Linked DNA regions of Rattus norvegicus. The protein of the gene in region 4 purifies or fractionates together with the protein of the main gene of each other region. This does not show direct contact. Links are inferred from orthologs where the notes say so. Each region holds a gene or a part of one and is shown on either strand. Other genes may lie near its edges.

Region 1 (6,090 bases), on a different chromosome or scaffold from region 4:
AACCCTGGGTTCGGTTCCCAGCTCCGAAAAAAAAGAACAAAAAAAAAAAATCACCTTGGATGGTTTAAAGGGCAGAGAACCCTGGGTTTGGTCCCCAGCTCCAAAAAAAAAGAAAAAAAAGGCAGAAAAGCCTGCCCCACGTTAGATTCATTACACTGGAAACTGACCCAGCTGCCTTTCCTTGAGTGGGGCCAATTATAAGTGCATTATTCACTTAAACATTCTTTTTTGATTTAGGTTCTTACTCTATAGCCTCAGCTGATCCAAAATTATGTAGACCAGACTATTCTTGAACTCACTAAGTGCAGAGGATGGTCATGAACTTCTGAGTCTCCCGTTTTTGTCTCCTGAGGTTACAGACTTGTACAGTTTATGGGGGTGTTGGGAACCAAACCCATGGCCTCACACATGCAAGGCAGGCACACCACCAATTGAACCACATCCCCAGAACCAGAAAACAGACTTGCAAAAAAAAGTTGTAGTGCTGTGCCTAACTCACTTCAGGGAAAAAAATTACTATGTAAAACATGCCTATGAACCCATAGGCAAATGGCAGGAAAATATACAAATCACCCAACATTTGCCCCACCTGCTAGCTCCATTTCTTTGAGGCAAACAATTTCTTGTGCATCTTTTGTGAACTAATTTGTACCTTAAATAGTCTGGGCACCGCAAGGATTGAACCCAGGGTCCTGGGCATGCTAAGCTTTGTCCCAGCACTAAAACCTCCATTTTCTCCTCCAAGCATTGGTTAATTCCTGTACCGAGGCTTTCATCCCTCTGGAGAAACATACACCTATCTTGTGACAGGCAGTGTACTGGCTTCTTAGACTAGCTGTATGACCCAGGACTGTTTAAGGAGCCCACCAAGTTTATGCCATGTGAGAGGAAAAGGCTCTCCAAGTGGGCCTTTCCTGGCAGGCCCTAAGTAGGAGCTGCGAAGGGCAGGCAGTGCTGCAGATAAAGAGCCTGAGAACTGTGGGCCTTTCATCTTCTGTCATCAGCTGTGGCACCTGGCAGACATTGGATACCACAGCCATCAGACAAAGACCTGGTCATTCAAGCCATTGCTTGGCCTCTCTGCCCAGACTTGTCCTGGAGAAACTGTAGGCTCTGGTTTCTTTAGGAGGCCCTGTGTGGAAACGTCTTTTGTCTTTGTGGTGCCAGGAATACCATCATGTGCTCATTGGCTAGGTGAGCCTGGCGCCTTGGTGGGGATAGTGATGCTCCCTAGACACAGCGGGGCAGGGCAGGCAAGTGCCCAGTTCCTGGCTGGGCTGAGGCCAGATGGGTCCTTTCAGACCTCTCCCTTTACTTCAAAGTTGTTTCATTCTAGCGACCTTATCACAGCCTTCTGTGAGCTGCCCATACAGCATAGTCTGTTCAGGTTGGGCTGACTGTCCTGGTTCACTACTGGATGGATTCCCAGCGCGGGCCTCACAGGCCTCACACACAGGCAGAGAGCATGATTACCCGAAGAATATACCCTCCATTCCACATCCCTGTTTTCTCTCTCCAGGCTTGGCGCTTCACTCCAACAATGGCTATTTGGGGTGTGAAAGCCTCTTCAAAGTTCAAAGGTAGGAAATAAAGGTTAAGATTATCCAACAAGGTGGTGCCTGCCTCCCAGCGCTGAGCTATTGGAAACACAGATCTGAATTTAAAGCCAGCCTGGTCTAAATAGCGAGTTCCAAACCTGGTTTATCTAGTAAGACCCTGTTTCAAAACAAAACAAAACAAAACAAAAAGAGTATAAGGCGAGTATATGTGGTGAAAAAAAAAAGCCGGTAATCTCACGAGTTTTAGACCAACCTGGTCTACGCAATGAATTTGCAGTCACTCTGTGCCAAACGAGACCCCGTCTTAAAATGCAAAGAAAATAAAAACTAAGCAGGTGCACCAAGTCAGGAGTATTTAGAGACACCTTGACTCAACATCCGTAATTTTTTAAAGCTCAGTTATCAGTGGAGTAAGGTTCAAGTCCTTAATTCCAGGTCGGAAAAAAAAAAAAAAAACCAAACAAACCAAAAACCCTTATTTCCTTGGGTTATTAGGAGAGTAACAGTGGTCAGGCTGAGGTGACTCCTTTAAAGCACACCCACCCACAACCGGTTTTGCGGTTTGTTCTTTCCAGGCTTTTCAGGACTGGGGTCTTTCAAGCAGTTTAAGACAGCCTCTGCCTGAAAGACCCTTCGGGTCGCGATGGTTCCCCAGCCGGTGCCGGCGTCCGCACGGAAGGAGAGCACGGCGTTGTTCAGGACGGCGGAGTAAAGTGGAAGTCCCCCTCCTGCTCAGCCACCCTTCCACCCATCGCCGCTCAGCACCTCTCCAGGAGACCTCTGCGGCGCCCAGAACCTGCCACCCGCCTTCCGCATGCCGTCAGGCACTCTCAACGGCCAGCCCGGCCGGCTGTGTGACGTCACGAACTCGGGGTCCTCGGTGCCCTCTTCCCGCTCCTATAAAAGCTGACGCCGCGCGGCGCTGCTGTAGTGGCCTTGTTCTCGAGACTTCTATTCGGTTGTGAACTCTGTTCGGCAGCCTCAGGCCTGCGGTCTTGAGACCGAGCACGGTGAGTAGCAGCCCGCGAGCCGGACCAGGTCCTGGAGGGAGGGGCTGGGTGGGAGCCCCGGGTTGGCTGTGGCGTGCACGAGGCGGCGAGTCGGCCTGGCGTGTCCTGAGGCGCTGTGCGGCCCGTTGCCGACCCCGGACCGCGGGAGGCGCGAGGCGGCCGAGTCAGGCCTTCTAGGGCCGCCCATCCTTTCGGCGCTCGCTCGCTGCTGTATCCAGCTCTGTGGCAGGCCTGCTCTTTTGCGGGCGACGTCAGTCGGCCCCGAACGCGGCTGCAAGGCCTAGGCTTCGTCCCGGGCCTGCCTTAGCGACAGGCTTGTTGCTCCGCGCTCCAGGGCGGGTTGGCCGCAAGGCTTTGAGTAGGGGTCCCGGGCCTTCCGGGTGGTGGCGGTCGTTGCCACTCGATACTTAGCTCTCTCCCTTCCTCCTGTATCTGGCGACATTTGCTCCTTACTGGTCTTACCTATTTAACCACCGAATATGCAGGTAACAGGTTCCCGATATTTCTTCGCTTTTTTTTTTTTTTTTGTCACGTCCTGCAGTCTCTGAACTTATTGTAATAGACCTTGTCGTCTGAGGTGTGTGACTTTTAGGAGCCCTTGACGCTAAAACCCAAGGTGTTGGGTTTTTAAGGGATAGTGTTAAAACATGCCTCTTGGCTCACTTTTTCATGGAGTCCTCAGGTTTGGAGACTCAGTTTTTCATCAGAATGTTACAGTAGACTGTGTTGTGGCAAAGAACAATGCACTCCCTTCTGCCCTGCAGTCCAGTAACAAGTGGCAGAATTTCGAGTCACTTAAAACAGGTTTGTTTTTAAAGTCTGTTTTAAGTGTACTAGAATTCTCATGCTAGACTTGGATGGTGGTTTAGTTTCCAAGTCCAGGAGCTTAGAGAACTAAAGAAGGGTTTTTTGAAAGCATATCAAATCGAAATCTCATACATTATTACTTAAAAATTTTGCACTTAATTCCACCACAACAAAAGTGAAGTCTAGGATTACAGAGTGCATTGAATTACAGATTAACTGATTGCCTCCCTGGCTCTCTTGCAAGTAACCTGATACCTAAATTTGACTATGACTAAGCATGTCTTTATTGTGAATTATTTCAAGGAAATATGGAATTGTCTTTTAAAATAACTTTATTAGCCACATAGACTTGTTCCTGAGTGATCATTACAGTGCTGGGGACCATAAAGAGAACATAGTGTTTTGCTATTAAAAGCTGGTCTCTTTAACTTTTATTGTTGCCTTATAAGGAGGGTCTGCTGCTCTGGGCTTCTCTGTTCTGCAGCATATTTGTGAGTTGAAAAGTGAACTCTTGAGTCTTTTCAACCATGGATGATTGTGAAACAAGCTTTATCCCCCCCCCCCCCCCAATTATTGTTTACTTGAGGAATGGGGACAAGTGTCTCAGAAAGCTGAATGAATATTTTAGGAGATACGCCGAGTCTTAAGTGTTTGACCCTTAAATAGGTACAATAGTTATTTTAAGTGCTAACCCTATAACACCCAGGTATTCCTCAGAAGCATAAGACCTGCAGAGTTACATGTGAGTTGGGGATTTTGGTGCCCACCTTTTTTTTTTCTTTTTTCTTTTTTCTTTTTTTCGGAGCTGGGGACCGAACCCAGGGCCTTGCACTCGATAGGCAAGCGCTCTACCGCTGAGCTAAATCCCCAACCCCAGGTGCCCACCTTTAATCCCAGCACTGGAGGCAGAGGCAGGTTGATGGCTGAGTTCAAAACCAGTCCTTGCTACAGAGCAAGTTGCAGGACAGCTAGGGCAACACAGAGGAACCCTGTCTCAAAAACAAACTACTAAAAAAAGTTGCTTATGAAATTTTTTTTTTCTTTTTTTTTTTTGGAGCTGGGGACCGAACCCAGGGCCTTGCGGTTGCTAGGCAAGCGCTCTACCACTGAGCTAAATCCCCAACCCCATGAAATTTTAAAGAGGTCTTGAATTACTCTTTTGGAGTAATGAGGGGGAAATCTGAAGATGATAAATTGCTGGTTTAGAGCTTTTAGTATTAATACTGGTTTGCTTTTGTTTGGTTTTGGTTTTTCCTAAAACTCAAGTCATGTTAGGAGCTAGTTGCTTAATTTTTTTAATATATGAAATTATATTTTTCCTAATGACTTATATTTTATCTCAGTTGATGCATTTTTGGATGGGGGGGTTGTTGAGATCAGTTTTTGAGACAGGGGCAAGAAAACTAGGCTAGCCTTAAATTTATTTTGTATGTATCAAGAAGATGGCCATGAACTCCTAATGCTTCTGTTTGCCAAAATGCTGGGATTGTGGAAATACTTATACTCTGTCTCACCTTTTGGGCAGAGGGAGAGGGCAATATTGCAGATTGAACTAGAGCTTTATACATGTTAGGCATTACACTCAGGAGCTGTATCCCCAGCCTCTTTTATATTTCATTTTAAGCAGGCTCTTAATGAGTTCCACCAAGGCTGGCTTGACCTCATTATGTAACCTAGTCAGTCCTTGAAATTATGATCCTCATCTTTCCAAAAACTGGACTTCACAGGACTGGTTCCTCTGTATATCCCTGACAGTTCTGGAACTCACTGTGTACACTGGCCTTGAACTCACAAAGATGCACCTGTACCTTGACTCCCACGTGCTGGAATTAAAGGCATACAGTATTACCATGCTATTTTAAATTTATATTTGTTTGAGACAGATTCTTATGTAACCCAGACTGGACTTGAACTTGGCTGTGTGCCCAATGTCTGAATTCCTGCATCTCAAGTACTGGGTTTATAGTACCTGCCACTATGACTTAAATGTATTTTGTTGTTTTGTTTGCTTTTTTGAGACAAGGTCTTTAGGTGTAGTCCTGGCTGCCCTATTTATTACATGTAAGTACATTGTAGCTGTCTTCAGACACACCAGAAAGAGAGCATCAGATCTCATTACAGATGGTTGTGAGCCACCGTGTGGTGGCTGGGATTTGAACTCAGGACCTCTGGAAGAGCAGTCAGTGCTCTTTTAACCACTCAGCCATCTCTCCAGCTTTGTTTGTTTGTTTTGAGTTTCTCTGTGCAGCTTTTGGCTCCCCTGGGACTTTCTCTGTAGACCAGGCTGGTCTTGAACTCTAGATCCGCCTCTGTCTCCCAAGTGCCCAGATTAAAAGGCATGCTTCGCCACTGCCTGGCTGAAGCAGGTCTTTTTTTTTAATTTGGTAGGTACTTAGCCAGACGATTTCAAACTTGGACATCTGAACAATAGGTAATAAAAAAATTTAAAAGGAGCTGGGTTCACACCTTTACCCTAACCCCAGCACTGGGAGGCAGAGGCAGGCAGATCTCTCTGTGAGTTGAGGCCAGCCTGGTCTACAGAGTGAATTCTAGGACAGTCAGAGATACACAAGGAAACCTTGAAAAACCAAAACAGAAAAAAAAAAAAGACTCTAAATTTAAGCTCCTTACGGGTTTTAGGGATCTTACTGACAGCTGCCTGTATGACCTTTATTTTCTTGTATGTGGTCTTGCACTTGTTTAGAAGTGAGCAT
Region 2 (5,290 bases), on a different chromosome or scaffold from region 4:
GGCCAGGCCTGACTCTCCCTGCTGCCTGTGGGTCTGAGGGAAACTCTCAGCTGCTTCTCCAGCACTCTGTCTGCCAGTGTGCTGCTGCACCCTCTACCATGGAGATAACGAACCAAACCTCTGAAACTGTAAGAAGCCCCAAGGAAATGCTTTCTTTCCTAAGAGTTGCCATGGTCACAGTGTCTTCCCAGCAGTAGAACACTGACTAAGACAGTGAGGAGGTCTGCTGGTGCAATGCAGGTCTTCAACAATTGATTTTGAGTTATTCAAAAGATTACCCTGGATGGGCCTTACCTATTCATGCAGGGTTCATTTGTTCATTTGTTCTCTCTCTCTCTCTCTCTCTCTCTCTCTCTCTCTCTCTCTTCCTTCCTTCTTTTGAGACATGACCTCACTCAAAATCATAATTAAAGATACATATATACATGACTTTTGTTGATAGCTTAACTATCTGATTGCTTGAGGGAGGGTTTAGGGCAAGCTAGAACAGACCATTTCAGGGACTGGAGATGACCTAGCAGTTAAGAGCATTTGCTGCTCCTGCAGAAGACCCAGATTTGATTCCCAGCACCCATATAGCAGCTCACAACTATTTATAACTTCAGCTCCAAGGGATTCAATACCCTCTTCTGGCCTCCTTGGCCACTGCACACATGTGGTGTACATACAAACCCACTGTGATAAAATAAAATTAGTAATTTTAAAACACAAACGAAACTGGGCATGATGGTGCACACCTTAAATCCCCCATTTGGGAGACAGGTGTAAGTGGATCTCTGTGAGTTCAAGGCCATCCTGGACTGCAAAGAGAGTTCCAGGACAGCCAGAACTTTGTAGAGAGACCTTGTCTCCAAAATACTAAAAATAAAAGAGAAAGAGAGAGACCATTTCAGCACGAAAACAGTAAATTGCTTTCGGACGTCGTGGCAGCTGCCTCAGTGACAGGAGGGTGGGGGTACTTAGCAAGTAGAGTTCAGGTGGAAAGGCATGCCCCTGAGATGGCAGCACTGGTGACTGACTGCACAGGAGTAGAAATACACTTAATGCTGTACTTTAAAGTGCTTAAGATGGGGGCGAGCTGCTCTTCTAGAGGATCCAAGTTCAATTCCTAGCACCCTCATACTGGCTACCAACTAAGATCTGATGCTATCTCCTTTTTCACAGGGACTCATGCATGTGGGACGCATACATTCAGGCCAAATACACACAACACATGCACACAACACTCGTACACAGTCTCTCTCTAAGAAACAATATTAAATCAATGCCAAGGGTCTGTAATAAAGTATTAGGAGAAAAATACATCTTTCAAGACCTTCCATGTATGTACACGTTTTCTTATTTATTAGCATATAAATAAAAACATCTGTAAGGCTTTGGATAACATTATTGCTATTTAACTTCCATCCTGTTGATGATCTGTGTTCTAAAAACCTACACACTGCCCTACTCATAAATTATCAATTCAACTACTCATATATCACAATATAGCAGGATAAATTTAAAATTCCAAGTATTACAGTAGATTAGAGTGGCTGTACTTACTATTATTTCAGATGCAAAACACCGGAAAGGGTCATTTCCAACTTCTTCAGACTGTTCGAGGAATTGTGCTGTCAGCAAAGGGCATTTCAAGCTTTTGAAACAGCTATGGCATAAGAAACAGGTAGCTATGCAGTCAACAGTCCAGGCGCAGCACATCTAGCTCTTAGTATCTGGCTTTACACGAAAGCTAAGCGCTGCACAGTTGTTCATTCCCTCAGCTCAGGTGAAATTTGTCGCTGTGACAGTATTAACAAGTGGGACCTTGGAAAGGTGGGATTCACGCTGGTGGGAGAGATTCGGCTGCTCTGAAGACATGAGCGCAGGGTACCTGAGGCTCACTCCAGCCTTGGGACTCCTGGCCGAGAACTGCAGCCAATAGACTTTCATGACAAACACCCGGTCGTTTGCTGCAGCCCCACAGTGGCCTAAGGCAAGCGGGGATAGCTCAGTCCGCACCGCACGATGAGTCCTTTCTCACTGGACAGTACTGGGCAACATGAGAATGCCTCGCTAGACTGCACAGCTCAGGTTCACCTCAATTTCTAGACTGCCTGAGGACCAGTGCTAGTCTAAGAGGTCACCATCACGAGTCCAAGGAAAAGTCACGACAATATAGTAATTGTTTTTCATAAAGTTGTATTCTTTTAGACTCTAACTTTATTCTGTAACTGAGTGCTTTCTAATTCTTTAAAATAGTTTTTTTTAAAACAACTTTTTTGTTTTAAAAACAACTTTAAATGCGTTAGCCCAGCAAAATAGAAAAGTAACAATAGCATTAGTCTCCCAAATTAAAAAAAAAAAAAAAATCAGTACTGTCCAAGAGGAAGTTAACACAAATCCATATATAATTTAGAATTTAAGATTCCTTAGTAGTCACATGAGAAAAGTTGTGAGAAACTAATGTGAGGAGTAATTAATAATTTACCTCAATTATCCCAAAATAGCTAAACTACTCTGACAGGTCACAACTGTACAAAGGTTAGGAACCCACTCTTCTCTCTCTTTATGGGGTGTTCTTTGTCTCAGAGCTTTTGTGCTAGTTTTTGAGATAACTTATTCTGTAATCTAGGCTCTAGCTTTCACCTTGTAATCAATCCTCCTGCCTCACCTCCTAAGGGTGCAATGACAGGTGAGCACCACATCAGCTCATCTGTCTCCAGGCTGTTTGTTACTGACAGTGCATCTCAGTTGGGACCATCCATCTGCCAAGGGGCTGGCAGCCATACTGAACAGTGGTGGGTGACTTTGCTGAATCTGTAGTCAGGGTGGATGCTCAACTGTCTAGTGGTTCAACTGTCTACTGTTTCCAAATACAATTCCCCACTGACAATAAATTCCTTGAGTTAAATAGAGTTCCTGCTGCTCTTTCAGTATTTGCTTGCTGTGACAGAGGAAAGTAAATTAAGTGAAGGGTTTGGTTTTACACTCTCAGTGTCTCATTAAACAAGCATGCTGTACCAGCCCGCATGCTGTACCAGCCCGATGTCTATAATTCAAAATTCACATGCACAAACACGAAACCTAAGGTAACAGCTACCATGGCTCACTCCGCTGGAGACACTTACAATTTCAGTAGTTCATCCTTCAGCTTTGTGTTTGCTGGGTCTTCTTTATCACTAGCAACTTCTGCCACAAAGGGTTTCGTGAACTCTATCAAGGCCCTGCAACACTGACAAAGGCCATAGTCATCTGCCTGTATTTGTTCTTCTGAGTGTGGGACAGGAAGAAGAGACAGCTGACTCCAGAGCGTGGACAATGCTAATCCAGCCGAGTATGCCTTGTTGTTAGGAAGTTTCTGAATAACTGCAACAGAGACCAAGTGGTTACCACTGTGCTCACCCGTGAGCAGTTACCTGTGCTCGCCCGTGACAGTTACCTGTGCTGCCCCATGAACAGTTACCTGTGCTGCCCCGTGAGCAGTTACCTGTGCTCGCCCCATGAGCAGTTACCTGTGCTGCCCTGTGAGCAGTTACCTGTGCTGCCCTGTGAGCAGTTACCTGTGCTTGCCTGTGAGCAGTTACCTGTTATCTGAGGTGGCAGAGCCTGCAATGTGACAGGTTCTTTACCACACTACTCCCACCATGCCTCCCCCACCATGATGGACTGTGGACCCTAACCAGATCAACAGTTCTGTAAATTGCCAGCTGTCAGGTGCTTGGGCCCAGCAATAAGAAAACCAATACAGTAGTTTTATAAGTGGTTACATCTTTCCCTTTTATTGGATTATAAACACAAAATACAAATGGAAAACTGCAAAGCACTGTATAAATGTACAAGAGAATTAGAGAGCTTGCTGTGTTCTTGGAAGACTTTGAATGTTTAAAAGTGTTAAGTGTCTAGACTCCCTATCATATTCCGAAGCATAAATATGTGCTACACACGCCAACAGTGATGGCTTCTTTCATGGGAAGTGTCTATCTTGGTTGCTGGGAGCCATTATTGGCCAATACTGCGTCATGAAGCTTCTCTCTCTACATGCCTCATTTCACTCTGGTGAACCTTTTACCTCCAACCTCCCAATCCAAAGGCTGAGCAGAACCCGGTCTCACATCCTTCTTAACCACACTACAGGACTACCTGCCACACTGCTGTTGGACTGCATGCGCAGGTCCCACTGAGCCACTAACTATGCTTAGACAGCTGTAGACAAGACGCTTACTAGGGAGCTGGAGAGAGGGCTCAGTGGCTAAGAGTGCTGGCTCTTCTGGAGGACCCAGATTCAGTTCCCAGCACCCATGTGGCAGCTTACAACTGTCTCTAACTCCAGGGGATCTAGTGTTCACTTCTGGCCTCAAAGGCACTGGGAATGCAAGTGGTGTACAGGCATATATGCAGACAAAACACGCACATATACATGGAACAAAAAGAAAGCTAGCCAAAGACTACATACATGCAAACAGTATGACACACAGCAAGGCATTCACTGCACAGCCATTCTTCAGGCGTCCTGCAGCTCCACACTGGCGACTGCTCACATATACGGGTAAACATCAGGGTGCGTGTGCAAATAAGTTAAGAAATACTTAGATATCAAAATGCTCATTACCTGTCTGTAATGGTTGCAGTAAAAGAAGAATAATTTGAGATATCTGTTTCCCGGAGGGCTCTTCAATGAGTTCAAGCAAACCCAACAACAATTCCTTTGGATTACACAACTATAAAAATATTCACAATTGAACCTGTTTAATACAAGTTGTATTTAAAGCCACATGATTACTATTTTAAAGAAGACATACCAAGAAAATACAGTTATATTTGCTAGATGTAAAGTGCCCTACTCGGTTGTTAAAGACCCTTCAGAGCTCGGGCTTCCTCACTGGGCTCTCCATGCAGGGCCCTGGTCTCTGTGGTGCACCTGACTGCCTTACCCTCAGTCTGCTTAGCTTTCTCAGCACTTCCACCCGAGCTGCGCCCCCAGCCACTGCCTCTCTCTTACCTGGAGGGGCTTTCCCATGTGGGCACTCACTTGTGTCTACCACAGCACTCGCTAAAGTTTTCTACATCAGGCTTCATTACGGCATCTTCACACAGAAGCTGCTATTGTTGACCCCACCTGTACTTCCCTCTAGCCCCCGCCCCTTACAGTCGCATATCTTTCTGCTGATGACTGCGACTCATAACTTTCATATCTGGTATCTGACTCTACCTCTAATGCTTCAGGAGGGTCAGCACAGCATTAAAAGTTCTCTACAACTGACCTCACCTACGTAACGAGAGCACGTGCTAACTTCTGTTATAGCTTTCT
Region 3 (5,757 bases), on a different chromosome or scaffold from region 4:
CAGACGACACTAGAGTCCTGTGACTAGAGCCCTGCTAGTCTTGATTCCCCACCCCTCAAACACAAACTAGAAGTTTAGAACAGAAAATTACTCACAGCCAAGCTTGCCTGGAAGGCCATGGGTGGATGAGCATTAAAATAAACAGGATATAAAATGTAGAGATGACCCACATGTGGCTTTTGTTGATAAAAAGTCGGTGGGGGGTTGGGGAGTAAGCTCAGTGGTAGAGTGCTTGCCTAAGAAGGCCCTGGGTTCGGTCCCCAGCTCTGGAAAAAAAAAAGTCGGTGGAAGCAACAGAAGGAAACATAAAACCTAGATGATGTAAGCTTGTGCCCAGCCAACGAGGAAAAGGAGGAAGAGGCTTGCATTTAGGTTTAAAAACTTTTCGCTCACTCAGCACACCCAGCCTTGATGTCAAACTGGGACACTCTCGCTGCCTTGACTCTCCAGTGCTGTTATTACGAAGCAAGGGTCATTGCGCCTCACAGTTATGATGGGGGAGGGGTGCCACCTTATACTATGTCAACATAAAACCAACTCTCACCTCAAAGGGGAAAGTACATAGTTTATTCTGGAGCCAAACAGGAGTGACTGTGCTGTGGGGGGACCGTCGTCTGATTCCAGGAAAGGAAGAGGGGTCTGGGGAGGCTGGAGGTTAAAGGCCTGGTGACGAGCAGAGGTCAGCTGAGAGGTCAGCCGTGTATTAACCAGCACACGGGTGGTGAGGCAATCAAGCAGCCGCTGCGGGCAGGCACCCAGGCACACACTGATGTCCACAGGTCATACATAGATTGGCATGTGGGCTGCACAGAGATAGGCACCCAGGCCTACAGCCAACCATACATACACATAGTTCTACAGACACAAACAGGCCACCCAGAGACGGGTGCACAGGTGCATACAGGCACAATGGTAGATACACAGGTCTACAGACAGACATGCAGGTCACACAGAAGTACACACACACACACACACACACACACACACAGGGGCAGACAGACAGACAGACAGACAGACAGACACACACACACACACACACACACACACACACACACACAGGCCTTCTAGTGAAGGCTCAGGCCTCTGACCTGAAGGCTGTATTTATAGAGTCCACATAAAAGTGGCAGTCTGACAGAAGTGGCTGTATAACAGATGACATCACCGTTTACTTTTGGGCTCCCAGGACATCTGATGTCAGCCATTTTATGCTGACTCAGAGCACCCCTCACCCCACGTTGAGCACGAGCTATCCTTGCCCACATCAGTACCATGTTGTTGACACATTAAACTGGCCCTTATGTCTTTCTATTCACAACACATATCTGGGAACGTGGACTTAGGTCACCCCAATCCCACACTCCAATGTGGCAGAGGTTTCATGAAAAGAAGCAAGGTGGGGACCCACTGTTGTAGGATCAGGCACTATCTGGTGACATTCTGAACTTTTGGGTTGGTGGAAGACAGGAGTCGACCAAGCTAATATAGCAAAAGGTTTGACACAGAGGTGGGAACAGAATGGTTAATAGGGGGCGCTAATGATAGCCCAAGATGAACCATAATTATATACTCTGGACTAGCAACATTCCAACCTCCCCACAGTGACTGAAATTCTGATCAGTTAAGCAGACTTGCAGAAGGTTCAGTGGGAGGTAGAGGTTCTTTCCAGAACGTTCCTTCACAGATCCTCCCCCCACCCCAAGACCGCCTTTGGATTTGTAGTCCTGGAAATCTCTGCTAATTTCCCATGGCAGGTTTTTCTGTTTATCAGCTAGAACGGCATTTCCTTAGAGAGACCTTCATGACTACCCTTCATCACTAATTGGCTCCTCCCTCTGTCAATCACGCTGTTATCTGACCTTATTTCTTATATTTCTATATAATCTTACCCGCGGATTCAGACAAGCCCATTAAAAAATGTTTACCTCTGTTTTATGTGAATGTAAATTTTTAAGAAGGCAGAGATATTTATTTGTGTGTGGTATGTGTAGATGTGAATGCTTACTTCAGGATGAGCTGGCTCCGCAGAAAAGAGTGCTTGATGTCGGGCCTGACGACTTGAGTTCAATCTCTGAGACCCCACTTGGTGGAAGGCAAGAATCGACTCCTTGAGTCGTTCTCTGACACACACACACACACACACACACACACACACGCACACACACTCTAAATAAAATGCAATAAAAACTACTACATTAAAAATGCTACCTTTGCAATATGTATACAGCAGCCATTTAAAACCAGGTTTGCGGGACGAAGGAAAAATGCTTCCTTGGTACAAAGGTGGCAAAAGCCAGGGATAGCAGAGCGGAGGGGCGTGGCTGCCCGGAACCTAAGAGCCGCGGTTCCGGAAGTCTCCAGCCGACTACGGACACTTCCGGCGGATGGACAGTCCGTCCACAGCTGGCTGCCCCTGGGTGACGCGTAGGCCTGGGAGCGGCAAGCATGGAGGACCATAACCTGGAGGAGTTCCGCCAGCGCTGGCAGGAGGAATTGGCGCAGTCGCAGGCGCTGAGGCGACGGCGGCGGCTCGAGGCTGGGGAGCGGCGGCCCCGGAGACCGGAGGCGGGAGCGCGCGGCGAGCCGGCCTCGGGGTACCTGGGGCTGGCGCAGGGTCTGCTGGAGGGCGCGGGCCGACCCCCGGCGCCCAGGCCCGGCCGGACCGACAGGAAGGATGTGTCCAGCCGTTCGCGCTCACCCCCGGACCGCGACGCCGCGGAGCCCGAGCCGCTGGTGGACCAGCTCATCCGCGACTTGGTGAGTGACAGAGGCGAGATGGCTTTCCCTGTGGCCCACCCTGTGGGGTTAGGGGCGCAGGTACAGCAGGGATCCTGCACACCCAGGTAATCCCTGGAAGCAGTGGTTCTCCTCTGGCAGCTTTGCCTGTAAACATTTTAGGGTGTTGACAGTAGGTGTGCGCGCGGTCTTGGGCTTGCAAGAGGGTAGAAGAATGCTCGCAAACACCAATGTTCAGGACACCCTCTCCCCACCCCGCAAAGAGAATCCACCCATAAAGGACTGCGGATGAGTTTGAGAAATCCTGCCCTAGAAACGTCCTTAACCTGTCAGAAAGGTTGACTCTGGAGAGGGAGGTTAAGAAAAAGCAGAGGACGGAAATTATGCTCACTTTTCTCTGTATTCTTTGATTTTCCTAACGTAACGTGTTACTTAAAGAAAAATAGCAACCATAAATCAGAAGGAACGAAAGGACTATGGCGAAGAAGAATCCTTTGGTCAGCATTTTTAGGAGGCCTTTGGAGGGCATGGGTCTCTTGGAGAATCAGGAAACCCTTTTCCCCAGCCTCATTTACCAAGTCGATAGAATCAAATCAAGAACCCCTAACATGGATCCATGGCTTTCAGGTTAAGAGTTAGGTCAGAACAGAAGGTTTTAATGGTTTCACTCAAACCAGGTTCAAAGAACATTTCTTTTCTTTTTTTTTAAGTTTATTATATTTTATTGTGCCAAAGAACAATTCTACAGTTCAGTAGGGAATACTTTTCCGTGAGTGAAAGTTGTTTAGAGGAATAACAGGATCAAGCTGGAGAGATGGCTCCGTAGTTAAGAGCGCAATATGCTCTTCTGGAGTTGGGTTTCTGGTACCCATGTCAGGTGGCTCACGACTTCCTGAAACTGCGGTTTCAGGATATTTAATGTCTCTGGCTTCCATGGACACTTGCACACATGAGTACAGCCCCCCCCCCCCAACACACACACACAGACACATACTTTTTTAAAAATGGTTAACTTTATGCAATGGAAAGTTTTGTTTAAATGCTTCTACATTGAGTTTTAAGGCCATCTTTCTTTTAAACGAGTGTCTGGTGCTCTGCCTTGATTCTATAGTAGCCATAATATGAGGTAGATAACTATTTCCTTTTACATACGGACCCCAAGGCAATGGTATTTTTATTTAAATTTTATTTTATTTCTTTTTTTCAATTTGCTTAGAATTACCCAACTGAGAAATTCTGGGGATTGAATTTGGATTCCTGTGTTTTAACTTCACCAAGTGAAGCTTGAGTTCCCCGACCCCCATCCCCCTGGCCTTAGTGTAGGTTCCTGAGTCCTCTCAGACCTGCTAAGCAGCAGCCTGGGGAAGTAGCTCATCTGATGACTGAGAACCCGTGGGGGTTTAGATACCGTCAGCTGTGTAGCCTCTGTGCTGGCTAGTTTTTACGTCAACTTGACACAAGCCAGAGTGACTGGAAAGGAGGAGCCTCAACTGAGACGATGCCTCCGTAGGATTGAGCTGTAGGCAAACCTGTAGGGCATTTTCTTAATTAGGGATTGGTGGGAGAGGGGATGGTTCATTGTGGGTAGAAACACCCATGGCCTGGTGGTCCTGGTTTCCATAAGGAAGCAGGCTGAGGAAGCCAGTAAGCAGCACCTCTCCGTGGCCTCTGCAGTAGCTCCTGCCCCAGGTTCCTATCCTGACTTTCTGCAGTGATGGACTATGATGTGGAGATATAAGCCAAGTAAATCCCTTTCGCCCCTCATCTTGTTTAGGGTCATGGTTTTTATTACAGCAATTAAAAACCTTGACTAAGATAGACCCGAAATCCTAATACACAAGACTTTCCAGCCTCACACTCAGGCAGCACTCCAGAATCAGAAATAAAGTGTCAGGGACCTAGGAGGAAGGTCCAGGGCATACCAGACTCTTAAGTTTCATATGGAGTTGGCAAAAACCTTCCCTGTGTCTTGTCCCAGGGGTGAATGATAGTAGGCTCCTCTGCCCAGCCAGAAGCACCACACTAGGAACTGTTTTGGTTTCTTCTGAGCAGCAGCCAGCTCTCCAATTAGTGACATCTGTACAAAAGAAGACGCCATGGGTCATTGTGTGCTCAGGTGACTGGAATTACACAGGTTGAGCCACCTGACATGGGTGTTAGGAATAGAATTTGGGACCCTTGGATGACAGATTCTGCTCTTAACTATCAAGGTGTCACTGTGTACCTTAGACTGGCATTAGATTCTTTCTTTGCCCCCCAACCCCCGTGTGTGTGTGTGTGTGTGTGTGTGTGTGTGTGTGTGTGTATGAGAGAGGAGGGTGGTTGAGATTTCCTGTAGATGTCTGTGCGCTCAGCCTGCATGTGGAGAGCAGAGGACAGCCCCGGATGTTGACCCTCAGGCACCTCCACATTTTATTTGGCTTGGAGCGTTGTCACAAAGCCCAAGCTAGCTGTCCCTTGCACTTCCAGACATTTGTTTCTTCTCTCTTCCCACCTTCTCTGGTATCTCAGGCATATGTCTTCATGCTTGCCTTTTTCCATGTGTCCTGGAGGTCTAAGCAGGGTCCTTACACTTGTAAGGCGAGTGCCTTACTGACTGAGCCTCCTCCCCCCTGGCCTGGCCTTTTTATTTTCGTGTCTCTTCTTCCCGAGGGCTGTGGTCACAGTGCTGGCTGCCCAGTGCTTCACAGACAATATCTTCATCATTCCCAACAACCCTCTCCTTTGGCTGTCTTCTACGTGTCCTGGTAGCTGAACAGGAGGAAGGTAGGTTTGGTTTTGAAGGACAGTGAACTCATCCTGTATCTTCAGCCTAAGAGATGGCAGTGATGTTTATTAAGAACCTCGGCTCCCTGTGGCAGTAAATGTGAGCTCCACAGCACATGGGGTCAGAGGGCAACTGTGTAGGTGTGGGGGTCTTGCCTAGTTCATCAGGAATTTTGTTCCATGTCTTCCGAGACAGCTTTGTGATGATTCGTTTTATAGTGGCAACCAAAATTAGATATTAAACATGGTGGGTAGTGT
Region 4 (5,290 bases):
TGTCCTCCACCCCAGGGACACACAGGGCTCCTGACAGAGGCTTTAGTGCCTCTCATCACACAGGTGCAAGGATAATAGACTAGTTTATGTGTGACTCATTGCATGTAGGGCTTGAGAGTTTAGACTCAGAAGGGAAGAGAGAGGTTACCAGGGATGGGCCGGGGCATAGGGGTCCCTACCGCATTGAGTTCTGTATTAACAGAGCTGATGCTGTCGCCCCCACACACCACCACCCAGGCTGGCATGTAGCTTGAGTCCTCACCAGCCACCAGTAGAGTTAGCTGCCTGGGAATGGGGAGGAAGAACCAATGGGAACTGGGACCCCCGTGTCATGTCCACATTCAAGAGCCCAGGTGACTCCGGCAGGACAAATACAGGGCCACCCACGCGTGCATGTGGGAGCGCATTACCTGATGAGGACACCCGGGCGCATGTGCACGGTGATGAAGTGGGAGCCGGCAGTGCCATTTGACTCCCAGTAGGTCTTGGCGTTGCGGTCCGTCAGCCTGCTGGCCCGGTGTGGGTTGGAGGACACCTCTACCTTCTCCCAGTACTTATTTTTCTTCACTTCCGCACTGGAGCCTGGGGGGGGGGGGTGGGGGACGCGGACAGCGGGAAAGGGTAAAGGTCACAGCCAGGTAAGCACAAAGGGGACAATGGGTGATGGTAAATGAAACAGATCAGGGACAGACACTAACCCTGGCACAGATATCTGAGAAACACATCAAAGAACGGGATTTGGATGGGCCGGTGGGTTCGTCTGTGGTCTTCAATCTGGCCCAGCACCATCTGGAGCCAGAACATCAGAGAAAGGAGAGACACAAGGCTCAAGCAAACACACACAGAGGAAAGGTCAAACACTAAGGGAACACACACCTCCAGGCTCACTCGAGCCAACACCCAAACCCTGCCATTGCTCAGAATTCATGTTCTTAGGTAGCTCAGAACCTCCACTTCCTCCTGCCCTTCCTCCTGACCTGGATGCAACCGCCCAGAATATTTGTGGTGAGTTTCCGGTAGAGGTGAGCATGCTTCTCACACTTGAACACCATGTCCCGCAGCTCCTGAGCCAACTCCAGTTTCCCTCGGTGCTTTTCCAGGACCTTGGAGATGGCGTCCCGGGCTCCTAGCTGGTTTAGGATCACCGCATAGTCCCGGCTCGTGGAGGTCAGGCGGTGTAGGAAAAAGATTAGTTCCTGGAGCACCTGAGCGGGGATGTCAATCAAGGGGACAGTGAAGAAAGGGGCAAGCCTCGGCTACATGGATAGCTGTGGTGACTCATGCCCACTCTGTGCTGGGAGCCGAGCAAGGCAGTGTGTGGAAGTAATATAAAAACCAGGTGCAGTTAGAGAAACAAGGTCAAACCTATGGGAAGAGCCTGCTTGCCCTCTGGGGCTCTTAGCCACCAAGTATGTGGGGAACAGGTAGAGGATCCTCAGTTCTTGGACTCAGCTGTGGCTCCCAGGAGCCAGCTGCAGGATTGGTGTTGAGATGTGTAGGCCCCCAGCCCAGACACTTAATGAGGGCTAGAAGGGAAGAGAAGGCCTGAACTTCTCTCTGGTCTAGCTTGGCAACTGAAGGCATCGACTTGAGATACTCATTAACACCATACATTTGACCCTTCTGAGGCCTCCTGTACCCAGGACCTCTTATAGAAAAGTCTGCTCCCTCACTCCCTCTCTGAAAAGATTTCGTAAAGTTATTTAAATCTTATGTGAGAGTATTTGCCTGCCATTACACCGTGTGTGCATGTGACTAGAAAGAGGTGTCTACCTCCTCCCTAGAACGAGTTACAGATGGTTGCGAGCTGTCCGGTGGGTGCTGAGAACTAAATCTGGGTCCTCTACAAGAGCAGCGAGGCTGCTCCCCTTCCTCCTGAAGGCCTGGCTGAAGCCCGCCGAGCTCATTTCTATACGCTTAAGGAAGCAGGGGACAGACTATAGATTAATACAGTGGGTTACCAGCAAGGACGCTCAGACAATGAGAATCAGGTAAGAGCCAGAATTCTCAAGGACTACCTTGTGCCATTTTGACTTGTGAACTTTTCTGAATATTACCTATTTAAAAAACATAAGATTTTCATTTTAAAGGCAAGAACACAAAGACTCTGTTGCATCCTCCAAGCCTCACCCGGGGGTCTGCCTCACTGGGGTCCTCCCACCGCCCAGCATCTCCCCAGAGTGGGACAGGGCTACCTCTCGGTCAGTATTGGGGGACCGAAGGCAGGTCATACAGGCATCCATGGCTTCATGCCAGGGAAGCAGCAGTGCCTCAGGGAAGTTCACCAGCTGCATCAAGATTCTAGGGGGAGAGACAGAAACGGGAAGGTAGAGAGATAATCAGGTTGGTGTGAGGCCTTCCTGTGCCCAGCCCTGCCCCTCACTGCTCTCCCACCTCAGCGCAGTCAGGTGCAGGGCCTTGTTGCTGGCTGGAGTGTCCAGACTCCGCATGAGTGTGAGGAAGGGCTGGGGCTCCTCCTGCAGCTGCAGCAGGCATGGCTTGACCTCATTTTCCTGGGGAGCCTCAGAGCTGAGGGCTCGCTCCAGGTCCACAAGGAGCTTCCCAGATGGGCCCAAGCCCTCCACCAGTTGCCGCAGGGCAGGGCTGGCACTCTGAGATGGGGGATCTTGGGCTGGAGGAACAAGAGTGGGGTAAGAATTGGCAGTACCTGTGTCAGGCAGCTCGTGACCCACTGCAACTCCAGCTCCAGCCATCTGACAGTCTCACTGGCCTACTTGGGGTATCTGCATTCACACGCACGAACCCACATACAGACACATAATTAGAAATAAAATCTTCTAGAAACAATAACTGAACACAGTGGTTCATGCCTGTGGTTCATACATATGGTGGAGACAGCAAGGACCAGGGCAGCAGGAGAACTTGCCCCCCCCCCCCCCCAAAAAAAAAAGAAGAAAAGAAAGAGAGATAGAGGAAAGAAAGGAGGAAGAAAAAGTGTGGCGGATGGGTCTACAGAGATGGGTCAAGATTAAGAACACTTGTTTTTCCAGAGGCTCCAGGTTCAATCGCCAGCATCCACTTGGCAGCTCACAACTAATTAGAACCTCAACTCCAGGAGAGCCGACGCCCTCTTCTGGCCTCTGTGGGCACTGCATGGACGTAATAGACACACAATACCCATACGAATAAAATAAAATAAAAATTTTTTTTTGGCTTGGTACTTTTTTTTTTTTGGTTCTTTTTTTCGGAGCTGGGGACCGAACCCAGGGCCTTGCGCTTCCTAGGCAAGCGCTCTACCACTGAGCTAAATCCCCAACCCCGGCTTGGTACTTTTGAGACAGGGTTTCTGTGTAGCCCTGGCTGTCCTGGAATTTGCTCTATAGAGCAGGCTGGCTTCAAACTCAGATATCTGTGTGGGCCACCACACTCAGCTAAAATAAAATCAATTTAAATAAAAGATAAATGACAGCTGAGGAACGACATCTGTAATTGTCTTCGGGTCTAGACACACAGGTACGCACGCGCGCGCACGCACACGCACTCACGTGGACGCACATATAAAGTTTCTGGGACTGTGGGTAGGGTATCTCTTTCAGACAGGACAGCACACTGTTAGAGGAGACCCCCCTGTGACGACACTCTCCCGAAGGCAGGTGTCTCTGCTGCTGTCTGCGGGACACTCACCTTCAGCGCCAGCCTCATCTTCAGAGTCCGTTTCGATCCGGAATAGGTTAAGCTGGTCATCTAGCACAAACGGGCGGTTTCGCTTCCCTACCAGGACTTCGGGGCCGTACTTCCGGTACACATAGCAGTTGAACAGGTCCCTCAAAGCGCTGTCATCAAGTTGTTGAGGCAGAGACAGCATCAGGTCCTGAGCCAACTCAACAGGTACAGTCAGCTCGGGCAGGATCTCAAAGTCCAGAACATGCTGTGGGAAGAAAGTCAGCCCGTAGCAGCTGAACGAGCAGATGGTGAGAGGTCCTCTGGGGGAATGGGGAATCTCCACACACATCCACCATTCTGAACCTCTGGTAGCTGACAGCCCACCAACACTTGCATCTTTGAACTTCCCAGACTCCTCCACTGTGGGCCCCTGATGCTATCTGACCTCCACGTCCCCTCCCGAGCTTTGCAAATGTTCCAGTCCAGACCTGTAGGGGGCGCCTCTGAGGAGTGCCTACCTCCCCCTCCAGGAACTCCTGAAGGAGCTCCACCACGTGCTGCCGTTCCTCTGCGTTTAACTTCTTGATGAAGAAGAAGAGCTCCCACCACTCGGCCTGGGTCAAGTGCTCTCTCTCTTCCCTGTCTTCCTCCTCGGGCACCACGTAAGGCTCGGCAAAGAGCTGAGCTATGGGCTTCCAGTGCTGGAATGGCGGGGCTGTGAAAACGGGGCGTGCCAACGGCCAAGTCACTGCCTGCCCAGGTAGGCCTCTGCTTCTCGGCTCAGAGCCAACCCCTCCCCGAGCTCACCTACACCCAGTCCTCCATGGACCATTGCCCCCTGGTCATCAATGTCAACCACATCCTCAATGTCTTCCTCAAAGCCCAAGATCTCAAGCATGTGCCAGTGTACCCAGTAGGTATGGCCTGTCGAATCCCACAACACCTGGAGGATTGGAGCGCGGGAAGAGGGAAGGAGAAGAGGATTTGCTATTAATCAGCTGAGGCCCAACGCTGGGGCTCATGGTCTATAAGGTGACCAAATAGCAACACTGGCTATAGAATATATAGAATGCATAGACGACAGTGTATATACAGACAGCCCCACCCTCTCTTCAGCAATGGCCTCTACTTCCTTTATTCTAGTTCTGTTTTTACTCTCTTTCAGACGGGGGTCCCAGACTGGCCTCAACATTGCTATGTGGTCACGGCTGGCCTTGAACTCCCATCTTCCTGTCTCTCTCTACCTCCCGAGTTCTGAGACTACAAACATGGCTACCACGCCTGGATCGTCTCTGTCTTTGATATTCAATGCTTCCATCTGGCCTCAAACAGCCATTGCCAAATTCGGATCTACCAGTTTCTTCTTGGGTCCGAACTTCCTTTAATCACATATCCCAAGGGTTCCATGTCCTTTCAACTGTTAATGCCTTTGCCCTTTGGATCTTAACTGAGCCTCTAGTACAGAACACCCAGGCATGCATGCCTTACCCAGAATAGAATTTCAGGGTCTCACTACTGTACAGCCTTTACCTGGACCGGAGGCATGCCGTCGTTGCTCTGTCGGAACTGGCCTTCGTCCCCAGCACTGATCTCCTCGAAATCCTCCAGCATCCGTACCCGCATCCCGGGCCGTAGCGTATCCCGCACATACAAGGCATAGGTGTTG

What was found.
Region 1: the proteins of Cul7 (region 4) and Skp1 purify together in Homo sapiens (affinity purification with mass spectrometry; 8 studies listed by BioGRID and IntAct, with this or other methods). This does not show direct contact. The link is inferred for Rattus norvegicus from reciprocal best matches to the Homo sapiens genes CUL7 and SKP1.
Region 2: the proteins of Cul7 (region 4) and Glmn purify together in Homo sapiens (affinity purification with mass spectrometry; 4 studies listed by BioGRID and IntAct, counting the BioPlex papers as one, with this or other methods). This does not show direct contact. The link is inferred for Rattus norvegicus from reciprocal best matches to the Homo sapiens genes CUL7 and GLMN.
Region 3: the proteins of Cul7 (region 4) and Fbxw8 purify together in Homo sapiens (affinity purification with western blotting; 12 studies listed by BioGRID and IntAct, with this or other methods). This does not show direct contact. The link is inferred for Rattus norvegicus from reciprocal best matches to the Homo sapiens genes CUL7 and FBXW8.

What each region holds. Positions count from the first base shown.
Region 1 is NC_086028.1:36,900,422-36,906,511, forward strand, and holds the start of Skp1 (S-phase kinase-associated protein 1), read left to right. Parts: upstream 1-2,486; 5' UTR 2,487-2,569; intron 2,570-2,607; exon of another isoform or gene 2,608-3,048; coding exon of another isoform or gene 3,049-3,054; intron 3,055-6,090. UniProt on the Homo sapiens protein: Essential component of the SCF (SKP1-CUL1-F-box protein) ubiquitin ligase complex, which mediates the ubiquitination of proteins involved in cell cycle progression, signal transduction and transcription.
Region 2 is NC_086032.1:2,345,033-2,350,322, reverse strand, and holds part of Glmn (glomulin), read right to left. Parts: intron 4,725-5,290; exon of another isoform or gene 4,701-4,724; coding exon 4,592-4,700; intron 3,349-4,591; coding exon 3,111-3,348; intron 1,649-3,110; coding exon 1,546-1,648; intron 1-1,545.
Region 3 is NC_086030.1:44,084,988-44,090,744, forward strand, and holds the start of Fbxw8 (F-box/WD repeat-containing protein 8), read left to right. Parts: upstream 1-2,387; 5' UTR 2,388-2,442; coding exon 2,443-2,754; intron 2,755-5,757. UniProt on the Homo sapiens protein: Substrate-recognition component of the Cul7-RING(FBXW8) ubiquitin ligase complex, which mediates the ubiquitination and subsequent proteasomal degradation of target proteins.
Region 4 is NC_086027.1:21,822,586-21,827,875, forward strand, and holds part of Cul7 (cullin 7), read right to left. Parts: coding exon 5,155-5,290; intron 4,568-5,154; coding exon 4,432-4,567; intron 4,340-4,431; coding exon 4,143-4,339; intron 3,890-4,142; coding exon 3,646-3,889; intron 2,633-3,645; coding exon 2,395-2,632; intron 2,302-2,394; coding exon 2,196-2,301; intron 1,206-2,195; coding exon 978-1,205; intron 790-977; coding exon 699-789; intron 583-698; coding exon 411-582; intron 286-410; coding exon 180-285; intron 1-179. UniProt on the Homo sapiens protein: Core component of the 3M and Cul7-RING(FBXW8) complexes, which mediate the ubiquitination and subsequent proteasomal degradation of target proteins. Core component of the 3M complex, a complex required to regulate microtubule dynamics and genome integrity.